Arabidopsis thaliana: one gene and its partners. The protein of the gene in region 4 interacts with the protein of the main gene of each other region in a pairwise test. Each region holds a gene or a part of one and is shown on either strand. Other genes may lie near its edges.

Region 1 (4,788 bases), on a different chromosome or scaffold from region 4:
CTGATCCAATTACTAATCCAGATCCAAATCCCTCTTTCACCTCTAGGCAGCTTGACATAGACAGTTTCTTGTTTCTGTTTGTTGGCGTGTTACTTGTGTGTGTTATGGCACTCGGAAATTTCACATATTGTTTCCTAGCGAAAGACCAGGTTTCGTACCTCGATAAGGTAGAGATGAGTCCGTGTTCATCAAGTCAACAAATGCCTGTCAAGAGGAAGACACAATTAAATATGTCTCAAGTTCATGACCAAGACAGTCTTTAATTTAACAAAAAAACATATGCTATTATTATACCAAACTATTGTACTTTTTTTTTCTTTTGAATGAAGAATTGTACTTTATTTTGTAAATAAGGATTTTCAGAAACAAATGACCCATTTAAGAGAGACTATCAAAGTTACAATAGAGGTAGATTTTATTACGTGTTATGCAAGACATTAAACCTAATGCTATAAATTCTTATGTGCTAACGACTAGTAGCATATTAACTTATCTGGAATTAGGGTTATACTTTTTCTTTTTTGGGTTATACTTATATGCAGTTAATATAATCTAAAGAAATTTTCACGTTTATGCTGAAAAAAAGATGTGGTCTCAGCGCAAAGTGAGATGTGGATTTCATAGTTTGACAATTAAGACATTTTAACATAGAAGTAGAAAATAGAAAGAATAAATATTAGAAACGAAAATAATTTGGATAATTGTAGTAATAGTGTTAGTTTAACCACTTTTTAATATACTTAAATGCATTCAAATGCAAATCTATTATTGTAGTAGGACAAAACCAAGTACAGGTGAATAACTGGATATATTGGTTTATTAAGATACAATTGTGTTTGTCCTGCTCTGCTTTATATCCGTAACTCCTCTGTTCTTCCATTCAGACCCAATACATATTGGTTTTCACTGGAAAAGGAGACAATAGATGGAACTGTTCACAAACAAAAGAAAAGATGGATATTTTGGTGCGTTGCGCTTTGTACTTTGTAGTGATTAGTTTGGATTTTTTCTTTTTTTGCTTTGTGGGGAATAAAGAGATAGCCTAGATGCACGTGATACGTATTCCTACAGTGCTACTGAATACTGATGTACAAATAGTTCCCTCTCGTGATTTTTGTTTGTGGTTTCAAGAGAAATGTTGCTTACATTGAAGATTGAACACACTATTATTTTAAGCCTTTTTTGCGTGTACTTAAAATATTCTTTTACATTGTTAAAAATACAAAACGTTTTTCAGTTTTACAATAAACTCACTTTTTGAAAAATATAAACGTAAATGCAAACAAAGAATCGAATTCTTATTCTTTTTGACAAAAACGAATCCACAACGTAACTAACTAATTTACTGTCAAAACCATATGATATTTTGATAGCAAACATGAATGTTTTCACTTCCTAAGATTTAATTTCTTGTAAACTATTTTTACATTATTATGGTACCTACGTGTTGAATTAAGCATATTTAGTTTCAGATCTTTTTCTTCTTCTTTTTTTCTTTCTTTTGGTTAAAGACCAATGTCTTCTCAAGATTTATTTTTCTCGTTCATTGATATTTGCTAAGTTTATTTGATGAATATTTTCCATAACCAATCAGAGTCTTTATGTTCAATCCCAACACTATTCTCAGTCAAAACTTGTTTTTTTCGAAAACAATATATAGTCTTTGGAAAAAGCTGATAAAGGTCTTTTTTAACATTGCTTTATAGAAAAAGCTGAGAAAGTTTCTTTGACGTTTTGTATAGAAAGCTGAGAAAGGTTATTTTTTTACATTACAGAAGTAAGGGATACAAAGTTGTTAGTTCATCTTCTCTCCGCTCAGAAGAAGAAAAACTTAAAAAAATTCAACGTCTGAATATGGCTAATCCACTTCTCTATTCTCCGATCAACCCACAATTCTTCCAACCACTTCTTCCCGGTTTCACCAACCACCTGGTACTCTGTTTCTCTATACTCTCTCCGACCAGTTAAGTTACTTCTGTTTGTAACTCATCTAGCATGCTGTTTCAGGACATTCCTGTGGCGTTCTTCTTGAAGTACTTAGTGGGAACTAACGTAGGAAAAACGGCTGAGCTCAGATCAGATGCATCGGAGATGACATGGAAAGTGAAGATAGACGGCCGGAGACTCTCTAATGGTTGGGAAGATTTCACAATCGCACATGATCTCCGAGTTGGTGACATTGTTGTTTTCAGACAAGAAGGAGAGTTAGTGTTCCATGTCACAGCTTTAGGACCAAGTTGCTGTGAGATTCAATACGGAGAAGATACCCTTGAAGAGGATAAAATTGGTAACCTTAGTTTCATATTAAATATCATTAGCACATTTAGAATGAGTCTAAGAATATTACTTAATCTATCAACAGAGAAACTTTGTGGTACGGAGAATGTTTCAAGTAAGAAAAAGAGTCTAAAGAGAGAAGCTGAGTCTGCACCAGACAATTCACTAGATTCTTGTTTTGTGGCCACTGTCACGGGTTCGAATCTAAAGCGCGATACATTGGTATGTTACTTCCATATTACTCATTACAGTAATTTTTATGTTATTGTATATTCTTGATAACTCTATCTAACTTGGCTTGTGGCGGCATTTGCAGTATATTCCGAAAGAGTTTGCATTGTCAAATGGTCTGATGAACAAATATCAGATTGTGTTAATGAATGAAGAAGGAGAATCATGGAAGATAGACTTGAGACGCGAGGCATATAATTACGGCCGGTTTTACATGAGAAGAGGCTGGAGAAGTTTCTGTATTGCTAATGGGAAGAAACCTGGAGACGTTTTTGCATTCAAATTGGTCAAAAATGAAGAAACACCTATGATACAGTTGTTCCCTATGACCATTGAAGATTTAGACAAACTTCGTAAGTTAATTTTCATAATCCGTTGGTTATTGAGAAAAATCTCAATCAGATTCTATAATTGATACAGAGAGTCTTCCAAGACACAAGATTCGAAAAACAGAAGCAGCTCCTTCTTCACCGGACCTTTCTTCTTTTGTAGCCACTGTCACGGCTTCAAATCTAAGCCGAGATAGACTGGTTATGATACTCCTGACTTACATATATTGATTTTGATTTGACTGAGAGGTGTTTTAATGATATTCATGGTGACTGTACTTGACTGCAGTATCTTCCGAAGACGTTCATTATGTCAAATGGTTTGTTGAAGAAATTTCAGATGTGTCTAATGAATGAAGAGGGAGAATCATGGACGATAGATGTGAAACATGAGGCACATACAGGCCGGTTTTTAACGATAAGAGGTTGGAGAAGATTCTGTGTGGCTAATGGGAAGAAACCAGGAGACTTGCTCAAATTCAAATTAGTCCATAACGAAGAAACACCTGTGCTCCAGTTGTTACCCTTGAACAGTGAAGATCTACACAAACTTAGTAAGTTGTTTATGCTTTATTCTTTCAAGAAACAAAAATATTGAAATAAAATTGAATAACAAGAAGCACTTTCTTCCTCTGCAGATCCTAGCAATGACACAAGGCATGGACAGAGTTTAAAAGTTACCAAAAAAGAGTTTCTTGGCATGGAAGCCACAGAAAATGAGTTTCTTGGGGAAGAAGTTTACTGTAATGACTCCTTTAAAGCTAGCGAGAAAGATACTCTTCCTTTTGCTGAACCTATCAATGAAGATATAAGGCAAGGACAATGTTCACAAACTATTAAACAAGAATATGTTTCCACAGAAGAGAAAAACTCAACAAGCCAAAACCGATTTGTGACCTTAACACTTACACATTCAAGTAAACTTGTAAGTTTCACAAGAAAACTCTGTTTTTTTCTTGTTTTTTTTTTTCCACTTAATACTCTCGATATATAATCTGATGATGGTATCTACAGAATCTTCCGTTTGAATTCATGAAGCGGAATGGAATCAAAAAGGCGGGGAAGATAACGATGGTTGATAGATACGATGCAAAATGGCGTACTTCACTACTGATGGACAAGATCGGAACAATGAGTTTAGGAAGAGGTTCAAAAGGTTTCTGCGAGGTTAATGGTGTTGAGATGAATGAGTCGTTTATCTTGGAGTTGATTTGGGAAGACACAGTTCCTCTTCTTAAGTTTTGTTCCAAAGTTTGAGAACAATATTAAGAATGTCTAGGATCATCGCTCAAATAAACTTCTTTCCTTCTATGGTTTAATTTTCATGTTAAAAAATGCCGTTTAAATCATCATTAATTCAGATAATATTGGTTTACTAAACAAGAATCGTTAAAGATTTTATATAATTATTTTTGGGGGTCACTAAACATCTTGATTGTCGACACCAATCATAAACTTCATACTTCAGTATGTAGTAGAGATAGACTTCTAATTAAAGGGCTATCTGCTATACATGTAGCAAAAAATCAAAATTAACATCTTATACTGTATATCTTTTTTTATCATCATATATTTTTATCTTTATATTTTACTTTAAATGATGTGAAAATCATAGATAAAATATAGGAAAATGTAACTTATATTAAAGTGAAGAGTCATTTATATTAAAGTGAAGAGGAAGAAAACAGAAACAAGTTGTAAGATATTAAGCCATATATTGCAGAAACAAAAAATGGACAAAAATCCTTACTTATTTTACTATCAAATGATTTGATATTTCTTTGTATTTTGTTTAATGTGAAGAAAATCAAGGGAAAATCTCTCTCATTTATAGTAAAGTGAAGAGGAAAAAAACAGAAACAAATTGTAAGATATTATATCATAAATTGCAGACACAAAAATCCTTAATTATATTATTATCAAATGATTTGATCTTTCTTTGTATTTTATT
Region 2 (4,386 bases), about 12 Mb from region 4:
GAAGAGGTAACGCTTTTACCAATTCTATTTATCGGTAATCATCAAGAGTCACGGTTCTCTCTCTAGTGGAAAATGGGATCTTTGTACTTGAGATATATAAGTCTTTTGGAAAAGAAACAAATAACTTAATCTAAGTTGAGATTGACAATGACTATTTTCGAGTTCATCCTTAGATATAGCTAAATCAAATGCCGAATCTAAATGAGTACTTGGTGAAATGAATCTGTGAAGCAGATGAGTAACGTGGTGAATTTGGTGTAAATGCAGGTATTGCATCTTCGACGGCAACTTCAGCTGCTAAAACGATGCCAAGAGAACAAGGAAGAGGATGATCTCGCTGCTCCTGCCTATTAGTTCATTGTCCCAAATCCTCTCTCTTCCCCATTTGAATCCCACGTTCTCAACACTTAATTGTTAGAAAGTCTCTTTATTCTCTGTACGATTCAAACTCTATTTGCAATGAGAGATATATGTAACTTGCATTCTATAAATTGTTAATCACAATAAGTTAAGAATCCTAGAATCATATTTCATCACACTCAAATGCAGATTATGAATCCACTATCCACAAATAAGTACCAAAGGCTTACATTCAAAACAACAGTATCCCTTAGTCCCAACTGTGTACACTGTTTTGCTAAGGATCATTCGTATTAGACAGTCAAATTTTGAATCCGGATTCTAACAGATCCTATTGCAGACTGGATCTGGTCACTTTTTCACCGATCAGTGGCTATAAATACTGACAGAGATATGGTTTTGATTCTTAGAAAATCTCTTTATTCTATGTATGATTCAGAGAGATTTTCAAATCTCATTCTCCTACTTAAATGTTCATTGTGGCCATCAATATCTTCACTTGACTTGATTATCTAATCTCTGGTCACAGCGAGATGCAGTGACACAAGTGCATGGAACTGTAACTGTTGGAGCACGTCAGAAAGTTCTTAACTTCAGGAGCTCTTATCTTATCTGGAAGCTCATCGAAAGACTTCTATTGTCGAGATAGTTCTGTTAAATGCATTGATGCCTGGGGTTGAGGAAGCTAAAGTGACAGCAGGGATGGTAGTTAATACCAATAATGAACAAGAGGTTGGCCTATTGGTGCCGTCAACCCAATCTGTCACCAAAGGTTCTGAGTATGGTCCAGAAGCAAAGTACATAGCAGGAAACGATGTCATCACTGCACTTCTGTTCGCTTTACCTCCACAGACATGGATAAGGACCAAAATCCAGATCTTTCAGAACAAAATGAAGAATCTCGTTTCCATTGGTACCCTCTTCACTATGATCAGCCTAAATAAGATCAATCTCAGCAAAACCAATAACATATGCAATCTAATATAATATATAAGTTATTAACCATAATCATTACACTCTACTGCAGATTATGAATCAACTCTCACACACACATACACAAAGTAAGTAACATTAAGACCCTAAAATCCTCAAAAGTCTATACCTCTTATCACCATTCCAAAGACCGAATCCTGCGTAAAAACCGTGGTGGCTGCTGCTTCGGTTTCTCAACAACAGGAATCACAAACTCCATCAACTTCTGGTATCTCTCTTTCCTCTTATCTTCAATCTCCTTAGAAAGCAACTCATTCTCTTCCTCAAGCTTCGCAGCCAAAGCTTCTAACTCAACTTGATAAGCTTGTTTCCTCTCTCTAGACCTAGCTGCAGATTCACGATTCTTAATCATCCTTCTCTGTCTCTGTGCAGCTGCTTTATCCAATGGCTCAACCATCACTCTCGCTCTCTTCCCTCTAGCTCCTCCTCCGTAAACATCTAAACCATTCCCAAACGCAACTATTGATCCTTCTACTTTATCAATCATCTGAAACGGATTATGCGGCGGTGCAGAATGATCGAATCCGTAATTCGTCACCGGAATCTTCACATCCAAATCCTCCGCCGACGCCGTCACCGCTGTTTCGTCTTCCACCGCAGCTTTCGCTAGAAAATCCTCTAACGTCATTATCTCTTCCGACGTCTCTTCCTTCATCCCTTTACCTTCTCCTGATACCATCTCTCTCCAAATCTCATCAACACTCTTCCCACCACGCGTCGTCTCCGTTCCTCCGCCGTGATCCACAACATCAGAAGCCGTCGTTGTTGTTATCTCCATTGGTGCTGGAGAAGCATCCATCAGATTTATCGACGCATCTAAGAGTGAAGATTCCGTTGGTGCTGGTGGATCTGATGCGAAAGTATCGTGTAAAATCCCTTCGACCGTCATCGAATTTGAACTGTATAATCCGTCGTTTCTTCCGCCGTAACCGACACTTGTTAGATCTCGCCGGAACTGTTGTTGAGGTCTTATAGACGAAGAAGAAGTAGAAGCAGAAGAGATGCGACGAGATAGATCCGAGTTTCTCGAATTTGAAGAACGCATCACCTGAAACGACGTCATTTCTGGAGAAGATGATGAACAAGTTCCGTTTGTTTCGTCCTCTTTCGCCGGAATCGGATCAGAGAATCACTCTGTTTCTTTGACTCCGCCAAATGTTGAACTTTACAGAAGCAGAGATTAGGGCTTTTTGTGTCGAATTGAGAACCTTTGAGAACTTTTGGTAATTTATCCCAAATTGTAATTAATTGACTTTTATTACTTTTTTAAAATACCACGCGCATATGTGGCACGTGAGTTTTAATTTTTAGACTTACCAAAGAAAAGAGCTGATTTTGGTAAATTGGATAAGGTTAAAATCAAAATGGATAAGATTTTCTAACTTTTGGAGCGCGTGGGAAGTTTTGTCGCGTGTCATCAAACTGTAGTTGTCAAACTTGCATCAATTATTTCAAGATCATTAATGTATTATAACTTGACTATTATTACTTGAATTTAGTTAAGGTAATTTAATGACGTTATTTTAACTCGATGGTAGTTGTTTTTAGAGAATATTACACTGTAAGATATTTTTTAAAAAACATTTTTATGGTTAGACACTTTTTAAAGATAAAGCATTTTGAATAGATGATTTGACTCATTTATCGTCTAATCACATATCGTTTTATCTCTCTCCTTCTCTTATTTATTCTCTCTTTTTCTTTTACTTTATCGAGAAATAAACAAAAATCAAGCCAAAAAATAGATTTCTTCCTTTTTCCTTCTTCCATCTTCAACAAATCATCCGCTTTTATGAGAAAGAGAGATTGAAATTCAGCTTTTTAAATTTTCCACATCTGCTTTGATCTGACTTGAAGGAGAATTTTTTCAAACCATCAATTTGAGAATCTGCCCGATCTGGCTGATTTAGTTACATGACTCGTTGAATAATTGAATTGGATTTGCGGTTTGGTTTTTGTTTTATGTTTTTGTTATTTGTTGCAAAATTAATCTGATTACTTGCTCTTTAATTCTTTGTCTTTCTTCTCCAATTTCATATTCGAGATTATTCTCTTAAATTGGAGATTAAAGCCTCGCAGTGGACTTCGAATTATTTGATAGCAATTGTCGAATCACTAATTGATGGAACTCGTTGCTTAGTCCATGTTCTGTGAATTTGATTCATGATTATATTTGAGTTGTATATATTCAGAAAATCTGGTTATCTTATGTGTTCATCATAAACGGTTTATAAGTTTTTTGATGGTTGATTCACTTATTGAAGAACCTTGTTGCTAGTTCTGGTTCTGTGAAATTGATGGAGATTTTAGCTTAGATCTGAGACTAATTTTCATTCACAGATGTTAGACTGATTTCTACGTTTGTGTTTAAGATATAGATGTTAAAAATTTGGAGCAAAATCGAGAAGATCATCTTAACAGAGTTAAATGAACAGATCTCTGTGGATAACGATTTCTGGACACGTTATTCTTTACTTTTTTATCTCAAAATCCAATCGAGAAGATCACCTTAACAGAGCTAAATGAACAGACCTCTGTGGACAGCGATTTCTGGACACGTTCTTCTTTACCTTTTTATCTCAAAATCCAATCGAGAAAATCATCTTAACAGAGTTAAATGGACATACCTATGTGGACAACGACTTCTGGACACGTTTTTCCCTTGAATTTGTGATCATTTATGTTATATCTTGAGATGTTCTGTATATAAAATCAAACTTGGACTTGTATTTTAAAACCTTAAAATCCAATCGAGAAGATCATCTTAACAGAGTTAAATGAACAAACCTCTGTGGACAGCGATTTCTGGACACGTACTTCTTTACTCTTTTATCTCAGTTTACTTGAACTTATCTCTAAGTTTTTTGCTATCAAATTCTATGGCTTTTGAAAAGGAATGACCCTGTTCTTTTTGTAATCGATACGTCAGCGATCGGCGACTGATTTTTTTTTAACTTACTTGCGTGTAATGTATGTAGAGACTAACAGGGGCGGACGCAAGTGTATGAGTACTGGGGCACGTGCCCCATGCAA
Region 3 (3,939 bases), on a different chromosome or scaffold from region 4:
CTTGTGAACACAAGGTTCGTGCCCAGAGACGACCGGACCACGACTCTGGTATTGCGACGGTTTTAGATTTTCCTCTAGAGAGACGAAAGCCAGTTGTGGGGAGCGGCGCTGAGTTAGCACCAGAGAGCAAACCGGGCCATATCGTGTTCCGGCAACGATTCGTGATCTTGAACGAAATTGGCTCAACTTCTGCCATGTGAAACCAATTCAATCAAAATCGTGTAAAGATTGTTAAACTCGATAGTCAAGCAATAAAGAAGCAAGGAATTAGACAGCGATTATTGACCTGAAAGAGATGAGACAAAAGCCAGGATCATAAACAAGAGGATCCGATTCATCATTGCTGTTACAGGAGGATTCGATCGGATTCTAAAGTTGAATGCTTGAACGAGTAAAGCGAGCAACTTTACTTTCGAACGATGGAAAAAGCGGCGGAAGAGAGAATAGAAAGAGAGTGAGAGTAGTCGATAGAGGAGAAGAGCTTCTCTGTTTCTTTGAAACAATAAAACCGAAACCGGATTATTCTAGTTCCAAACTGGGTTGGTGAACCGAAAATTAACCGGTTTTACGGTTATCCATTTAGCGATGCGCACGTGGTATTTTGGTTGTGGACCATGAAAGTTCAAACATGATAAAAGTTGATAATTTATAGAGAGCACTCCGATTTCCAAGGTAACAACAACAACAACAGATCTAAAATCTTCCCATATCTGCTTTTATTTACTTAATCCAATCCGAATCGTGTGAGCTACAGTAAAATGCCAGTGTGATCATGATGAAACGGTGGAAAGAAGTTGAGAAGATTACATTTTCTGAAGATATACAAAAGATTGAAAATACAAACGACATCGAAGATAAAAAGTCTAATAATGAGAATGATGGAGACTGCAATTAGTATTCAATTCCTTCCAGTCCATGGAACTTAAATGCCATTAAATGCAAAACATGAGCAGATAGATTTTGTATCTATGGGAATCGTTACATAATCCATAAATAATTCAACCATAAAACGATGATCTCTCAAGATTTAAGTATCCAGATCTTACGATTCATTCAGATGACTGAAACAAAACCCAGAATATTTGTTCGCATATTATGAACACTTGAAACAGAGCAACAAGTAGAGCATTTCACCCATATCACAAGTACCATAAATAAAACCAACCATAAGTAGCAAAACCAAAAGAAGAGTCCTAATCCGAAACCATCAAGAAAAAACCAACTAACAAAGATAGAGATCCATCATAATAAGCAAAAAGTGGATAATAGAGAGATAGAAGGCGGCGGGAGAAAGAACCGATCACTTGTGAGATAACCAACTCACTCTTCTCCACCGCGTAACCGGCGTTGGTTTTAACGTCCACCGCTGGTGCAATCCCTGGCGAAATGTCCCGACTCGCCACAGCTGTAGCAGCTTCCCCCGCCGCCACCACCTCCACGGCCACCACCTCCGTAACCACCACCTCCTCCGCCGTATCCGCCTCCACCTCCGTAGCCACCGCCGCCTCCTCCGTAACCTCCACCGCCTTCAGAACAGTCTCTCGCCATGTGACCGGGCTCACCACACTTGTAGCAGTCGCTGCCTCCTCGACCACCACCTCCTCTTCCTCCGTATCCACCACCGCCACCGCCGTATCCACCTCCAGATCCGCGTCCACCTCCTCTTCCTCCACCGAAACCGCCGCGTCCGCCAGATGAACCACCACCGCTGTTTCCTTGGACGGGAGCGCCGTCGGGTCCAGAAACATCGATGGCCTTGGGACGGTTGTTGTTGTCGATCTCAACCTCGAACTCTACGGCTTCTTCGGCAGCGAGGCTACGGAAACCCTCAGATCTGATGGAGGACTGGTGAACGAAGAGATCGTCGCCACCGTCGTCAGGAGTGATGAAGCCGAAACCCTTCTGGGTATCAAACCACTTGACGGAGCCTTTGCGCCTCTCACCACCGCCGTTGTCTCCGCTCATTTTGATTGGAATCTCTTAATAACTCACTTTTTTCTCTAAATCTTTAAAAAAAACGAAACCCTAGAAAATACTCTGAAATCTCTCTCTCCTCGCAGCTGCTGTTTATATGCGTATAGGAAGGGTGTGGCAAGGGTATGACTGCCACGTCACCCACCCCAATTCATTTTTTCCTTGTTTCCAAGAGGAAATAAAATAAATGTTTTTATTTAGATCTCTATTTCTATATATGTTTGTTCGATTTTTGTCTATTTTTCTAAATTGCCTTCAAAAAAAACATCTGCACATTCCGAATTGTATATTCGAGCGTGATATTAAAATAAAAAATCTCGCGATTAAGATACCCAGAAAATTAAAAAAACATAAATTTCGTTGATTTCGAAAATGAATCTGCAACTAAAATATTAAAAGAAAGAAAAGTAAGTTAAAAAAGAAAAGAGGAGTTAGAAAATGGGCCAGCATGTGATAAGGCTTAAATTGATTAATCCATTTCGGGAAAGAGAATGGATCATTGGCCCAGCAAGCAGTTGCATCTGGACGGTTGGGGTGTTTTTCACGAGGGATATCAGCCGTCAGATTCTGATTTTAGATCTGAAAAGCTAGCTCTCTGGGGAATAGAGAAACAAAGATCAATTAATTTATTTTTATTTTTTTACTTTGTATGTTGTATTTTATTTTTTGTTGCAGTCAACAACAACATTAAAGAATGACATGCAACGTCAGCAACTGGTCAATATACTCTTTTCAAAATTTTCTCAATCTTGTGGTCAAAATAAGCATTAACTGTTGTTCCACTTTCCACGTACATTTTATGAGGCAGATTCACAAATTTTACCAAACAGTATGATAATTGTATGAAGTAATTTGAGAAGACTATTGACCGCAAAGAGATTGTCCTTTGTTGGATATCGATTTTTGAGTATCGATTACAAAACTAAATTACCAAGTAATTAATTTATAAGAGAAATAGAAAATGAGTAAAATTTAAAAATTATTGAGAGATAGAAAATAGATCCCTTTAAATTTAGCTTATAATTCGAAAAATGTGCATGTTTTTATCTTAATCACTTACCGTGAGAAAGTATAGGAGTAAAATGATGTTATCGTAAAGTGCCAAACAACAAATCAAACTTGTGCTTAGCAAAAAAAAAAAAAAAAAAAAAACTGGTATCATTTGAGAACATGACTTAAAACGCAGCCGTTTAAATAAAAAAAGTTGGTTTCTCTGCATCCCATGTCTAGAGTCTAGAAGAGTGGTCTCGCTGCCGATCTCAGCAGGGAGAATAATTTGGCTCGGCTCAATCACTCTTGTGGATCAAATGCTCTTCTTCTTCTTCTTTTGTGTTTCAAGTCTTGAGAAGAAATCTAATCTCAAATTATTAGGATTTTGCACCATGTTTCCATCATCTCAGTTTATAGATATAATCAAATAATGAAATTATAGAGATGCATTGTGTCATTAGCTACTGATATGAATTCTAGCATAACTGATTCTATTATCTTTTTGTTCTTGAAGATCACAGTAGTGTGTAATAAAAAGGGGCATTGCTGCAGAAATATAGTCATCTCTCAGGTTAGCAGCTCTCTTTCACTTGTTAAAACTAGATTTTACCATCAACTGTATACTTCTTCCTTCTGTTTTGCCTGTCTATCAACTACAACATCTGCAAAAGTATCAGAAATTAATAGTAATGAAGAGTTTGGATATCTCGCAATTGTATCAGGATTCAAATAAGTTGTAATGAATTGGAATATACACTCGTAAATCACACACACATACAAATACACACTCACATGTTCTCTTATACACAAGCAACCCTAAAACACATCAACCATGTTCTGATTCTTTTCCTTCAAAATAGATACACAAAGTCTGTCTCCACACGCTCATTCCTCAGGCCTTACCTTCAGCTCTCGCAAAGGTGAGCCCAACGCAAGCATCAACAAATTCATTATCTATGAAATCAGTTGAGAATA
Region 4 (4,531 bases):
AGTTACCATTTTTTCTTCTTGGGGATGTCAATTTTGTGAACTTGATATAATAATGAAAGAAGGGTAGGGTTTTTTTTTTTTTTTTTTTTGAACAGAGAAAGAAGGGTAGGGTTAAGTTCAAAATTACGACAAGAAACGAGTAAGCCCACTTCTATGTGAGCTTTTTGGACCCTTTGTAAATGAAAGGTACGTCTATATATGGGTTTCTTTTGTAGTCCTAGGCCCAACTTAACAATGTAGCTGGTATCCGATAATAGGGATCCGAGCCGAGCCGAGTAATTGAGATTTTAAATTTAAACAAGAACTCATTTCCCACGTTGATTATTTACTTAGAAATTCCTGAATTATTTATATATGTGACATTCCAAAAATAGCAGATAACATCCTTCATGTAATGCACTATAAAATGCAATAGGTTTATGATCAAAGCTTGTAATTTACCAACAAAAATAACTCGCTGGTTTTAGTTACTGCTATTGTTTCATAATCTATGTTAAATTTGCGTGTGTGAGTAAGGAAAATTGCAATATTTTATGAACACTTATTCTAATTCTACAGAAAAGAGGTTGATTATATATTCAACTTTTTATTTTACTTCTAGGTTTTGTTTTTGTTTTCAGTTTTCCCTCATACCGCTTACTTCTTCCAAAACCCAAATTAAGATGTTAAACAAACATGCCTAATTAACCAGGAAAAATAGAAGAAACTAAAGCCATTTCTTATCTCACAATTCCTCAGCATTGAACCCTAGCTCTGCAACTAATTAATCAGGAAGCTCCAACTCCAAGAAAATCAAAGTAGTAATAGCCACTCCTCATCTTCATCTCCACCTTTCTTTCACTGACTGAGATTGTGTGGTGATTTTGATGGTCCATCTTTTTACCATATATGCCATTTACTTCTGCTCTCTGCACACACTGACCATCTTTGCCTGCAAAATTAGAAAAATAAGTTCTCAGCACCCACGTGAAATTTTGTTATATTGAAATAGTAACGTGACAATAGTACTTCACCTCCTTATATTATTATGCCTATAGGTACTCTTACGATGTAAAAACAGTTTCTTTCTTTTCTAGTCATTCAAATTTATAATTATTGCCATGTATATGAAAAAGTGTAGGAAGTGGTCACTCGTCGTCGGTTATACAACATGTCGGCCTAAATTATCATTTTATATGCTTTGAACATTCAAAAATTAACAAGACTGGAATCTAATAAGCTAAATTTAGACCACAAATGATATTTGGAAGTACCGGTTAAAGTATAAACCGATCATGATCAACGATACACCCAATAAAGATTGCAATACGATCTCGACCAACCGACCGAGATCATTATAGTTAGATTCACGAAAACACTTCTCAAGAAAGCCGAAAACGAAAAAAAACATTCCAAGTTTCTATACTTTTAATGTCTTGGGTCATGAAAATAATATATTTTCAATAGAGAAAAAAAAAAAACATAGTAAACATAATATTTAAGCAAATAAATAAAATGTTACCTGATGCAAGGGTACTATCGTAATTAAAGAAGCGAGGCTGGTAAGCTGAAGAAGGCGGAGTGAGAGAGAGCTCCGTCGTACAAGTAGAGACAGCTGACACATCGTCGTCGTCATCTTCTTCATTGATGAACTTACCTTGATTGTAGCGGCAAGAGGACGAAACCGTCATTTCAGCGTCTCTTGACAACGTCGGAGGAGGCTGTTGACGTTGTCTTTGGCTTTCTCTAGTCCGTCGAGCCATGATGACGTGCCAATGGTTCTTGACAGCGTTATCGGTACGACCTGGAAAGAGACGAGAGATCAAAGCCCACTTGTTGCCATAGGCTCGATGAGCTGCTAACAGCCTAAACTCTTCTTCCTCCGTGAAGGCTCTCTTGTTAATCCTTGGGTCTAGTTGGTTAAACCATCTCAATCTACAACTCTTGCCTGTAGTCAAAGAAGTGTCCCTCACATTATAAAAATTAGTTACTATCAAGCATTATGTCATTATGCCTTATACAACTTAGTCTAACTTGTAAAAACTATTTTTAAAAAAATCCAAACACAATTACGAAAATGCCTAATAACTTTGGAAACTCAACTCACCAAAGTTTTTAAATATATTTACTTATTTTTCTTCTACATAAAAATAGTTAAATTTGCGGAATTTGGAGTAACAAAAGTGAAGGAAATAATTAAGTAATAAGAATTTTAAGTAAAATAAATGTACCTGATCTACCAAGAAGGTGGTTAGAAATCAAGTTCCAGTTTTGGGGACCAAACTGGGCAACAAGCTCCTTGAGTTTAGCATCTTCTGTTGGTCTCCAGTGTCCTCGTGAGCATACTTTTGTGTTAATTCCACTTTTGCCCCTCATTCTTAAACTCTTTTCGTTTTCACCTCTCTCGTTCCCATGTTCATCTTCCGACTCCAAGACTGAGGCTGATTTGTTGTGAGGATGGTTTCTAGAGATAGAGGGGTTGTTGAGTGAAGTTTTACAAGCAGCAGTGTGTGAGTTTGGTAGAGATCTGAAGTTGTTTGCTTCTTTGTATCTTATTGACCCATTTGTAGTTTCCTTACCTCTTAGATCTTTCTCAAGGAGATTTGGATTCATGTTTCTGGGTTTAGGGATTAAGGGAAGAGAAACTAAAAATAGAAGAGAGATAGAGGGAGAGAGCACTTGAATGGCTTTTCACTGTTTATATGGTGGAAGAGGAAAGAGAGATTCTCTAAAAAAAATTATTGAAATTTATATTTTTATTTACATTTATTTGCAAGCTAGTTAATATATATAGAAGAATATTTTAGAAAATGATGATGAGTGCAGAGTGGTTATTTAATGTACATGAAAAACAAAATTGATAGCTGTTTATTCACACACCAAAAGAAATTGAAGGGAAAGTTTTGTAAAAGCATATTCAAATGAATTACAAGTGTTAATTACCAAATTGTGGCCTAATAATCCCATGCTAATGGTTTTATACAATTACGTGCGGTTTCATTTTATTTATCATTTTTTTTTTTTTTTCAGCAACCACATTTTAACTATATTTATAGTCGATGCCTCGATGGTGGTCGTACAAAATCGAAATTCGATCATTAAAATTCCAAGATAGATCTATAACAATTTTTCATCACTATCTTCATAAGAGCTGCTTGTTATTGTACTAATATTGTGTTAATTAAATAGTTAAAATGAAACCGCACGAAAACATTAAATATTCAAGGTTCACGTTTTCCTTCACGTACGTTGCGATTTAGTTTTTACTCTTACACGAAAAATTTCGAATAATGAGATACTTTCAGTACAAAGCTCTCTCTCTCTACACGTGCAAAAGTAAGGGATTTGGAAAAGTCGGTGGGTACGTGTAGTGTAGATGCATGCAAAACGAGACCCGCTCGTGCGTGTGGGAGGGTTCGATGACCATAGGCCCCACAGTCTCAACAGTCTCGGAAACTCCAAAAAACATTTTTGAACCGCTCGTGTGGCTATAGTATATACTATGCACACATACAGATATTGCACGTACGTTAAGTGTGTGTGTGTGAGTTAATTATGGGAAAAAACAACAGAATCAATTTTTGTCTGTTTCGGACACAAAGCAAGAAAAGATCTTAAAGGGAGAGAAATAAATTGCTTTTATGAGCTTTCTGTTCTCTCCATAACGTATAAGTGTGTATATATATATTCGCATCTTTCAAAGAACTCGTTTTGTGTAGTTAAATTATAAAGTAATATGATGATTAGCTCAACAACTAGTTCAAGTACTTCAATATCTTTTGAACGATGGGTTCGACGTCGTTTGGGGTGTATACATTTTTACTTATATACTATATTCAGTGAAATTCAAGCATTGTTTTTGTTTATTACTTAAATAGTTAATTGAACTCAAACAATGTTGTGCGTACATTTAATGGAAAACAGACGTGGCAAACAGAAAACATATGCACATCCTATATTTTTTGCTACTAGTTTAAATTTAAATTTTGCTGTAATTTTTGTTTCAGGATGAAATATATAATCTTTGTTGAAGTTTTTTAAAAAAAACTATCATCAAATTGGTTATTTTAAAGTAAGTTTTAGGTACGAAGGGAACATAGTTTTTTTAATTTTTAGGAAAACTAAAAGTACAAAAAAGAGAAGAAAATGTGAATGGTGACAAACAAAAGTTCAATTCATTTCTTATAAACCAAAAATAATAATTGAACAACCAACTCTATTGAAGACCATTATTATTCAATGATATGGACTATTTATGCTCCCATTGAACCTATAAGTTGTAGACTTTAGTTTTTTGTATCTTTTTGATATAAGAATTGAGTGGTCATTCGTTTGAATGTAATAATTATCTTTCATGCGTAACAACTTACTATAGTCTTGATATGACTAAACAAAGCTACATATTTTAGTAATTGTACTAAACTCGATCGAGTATGCAACCACATAATTTTGATGGATTAAAATACTAGAGATTAAAGAGAGAAATCATGTAACTGAACTCGAACTAGAATTAAATTCAACAATAATAAATGAAGAATAAAACAAATATAAC

What was found.
Region 1: the proteins of MYB56 (region 4) and AT2G24700 interact in a two-hybrid assay, tested with the Arabidopsis thaliana proteins (one large-scale study listed by BioGRID).
Region 2: the proteins of MYB56 (region 4) and AT5G44080 interact in a two-hybrid assay, tested with the Arabidopsis thaliana proteins (one large-scale study listed by BioGRID).
Region 3: the proteins of MYB56 (region 4) and GRP2 interact in a two-hybrid assay, tested with the Arabidopsis thaliana proteins (one large-scale study listed by BioGRID).

The regions. Positions count from the first base shown.
Region 1 is NC_003071.7:10,512,355-10,517,142, reverse strand, and holds AT2G24700 (Transcriptional factor B3 family protein), read left to right. Parts: upstream 1-1,731; 5' UTR 1,732-1,854; coding exon 1,855-1,932; intron 1,933-2,007; coding exon 2,008-2,287; intron 2,288-2,362; coding exon 2,363-2,499; intron 2,500-2,593; coding exon 2,594-2,861; intron 2,862-2,928; coding exon 2,929-3,038; intron 3,039-3,126; coding exon 3,127-3,391; intron 3,392-3,475; coding exon 3,476-3,762; intron 3,763-3,851; coding exon 3,852-4,094; 3' UTR 4,095-4,259; downstream 4,260-4,788. Other genes in the region: GLR2.3 (glutamate receptor 2.3), read left to right, coding at 1-263.
Region 2 is NC_003076.8:17,737,319-17,741,704, forward strand, and holds AT5G44080 (Basic-leucine zipper (bZIP) transcription factor family protein), read right to left. Parts: upstream 2,632-4,386; 5' UTR 2,417-2,631; coding exon 1,469-2,416; 3' UTR 556-1,468; downstream 1-555. Other genes in the region: CAD1 (phytochelatin synthase 1 (PCS1)), read left to right, coding at 1-6, 268-354.
Region 3 is NC_003075.7:18,070,887-18,074,825, forward strand, and holds GRP2 (glycine rich protein 2), read right to left. Parts: upstream 2,297-3,939; 5' UTR 1,966-2,296; coding exon 1,354-1,965; 3' UTR 563-1,353; downstream 1-562. Other genes in the region: AT4G38670 (Pathogenesis-related thaumatin superfamily protein), read right to left, coding at 1-189, 287-341; AT4G38690 (PLC-like phosphodiesterases superfamily protein), read right to left, coding at 3,857-3,939.
Region 4 is NC_003076.8:5,875,308-5,879,838, reverse strand, and holds MYB56 (myb domain protein 56), read right to left. Parts: upstream 2,727-4,531; 5' UTR 2,593-2,726; coding exon 2,211-2,592; intron 1,928-2,210; coding exon 1,502-1,927; intron 932-1,501; coding exon 768-931; 3' UTR 508-767; downstream 1-507. UniProt on the Arabidopsis thaliana protein: Acts as a cell-specific local repressor of quiescent center (QC) self-renewal by cell divisions in the primary root. Counteracts brassinosteroid (BR)-mediated cell division in the QC cells.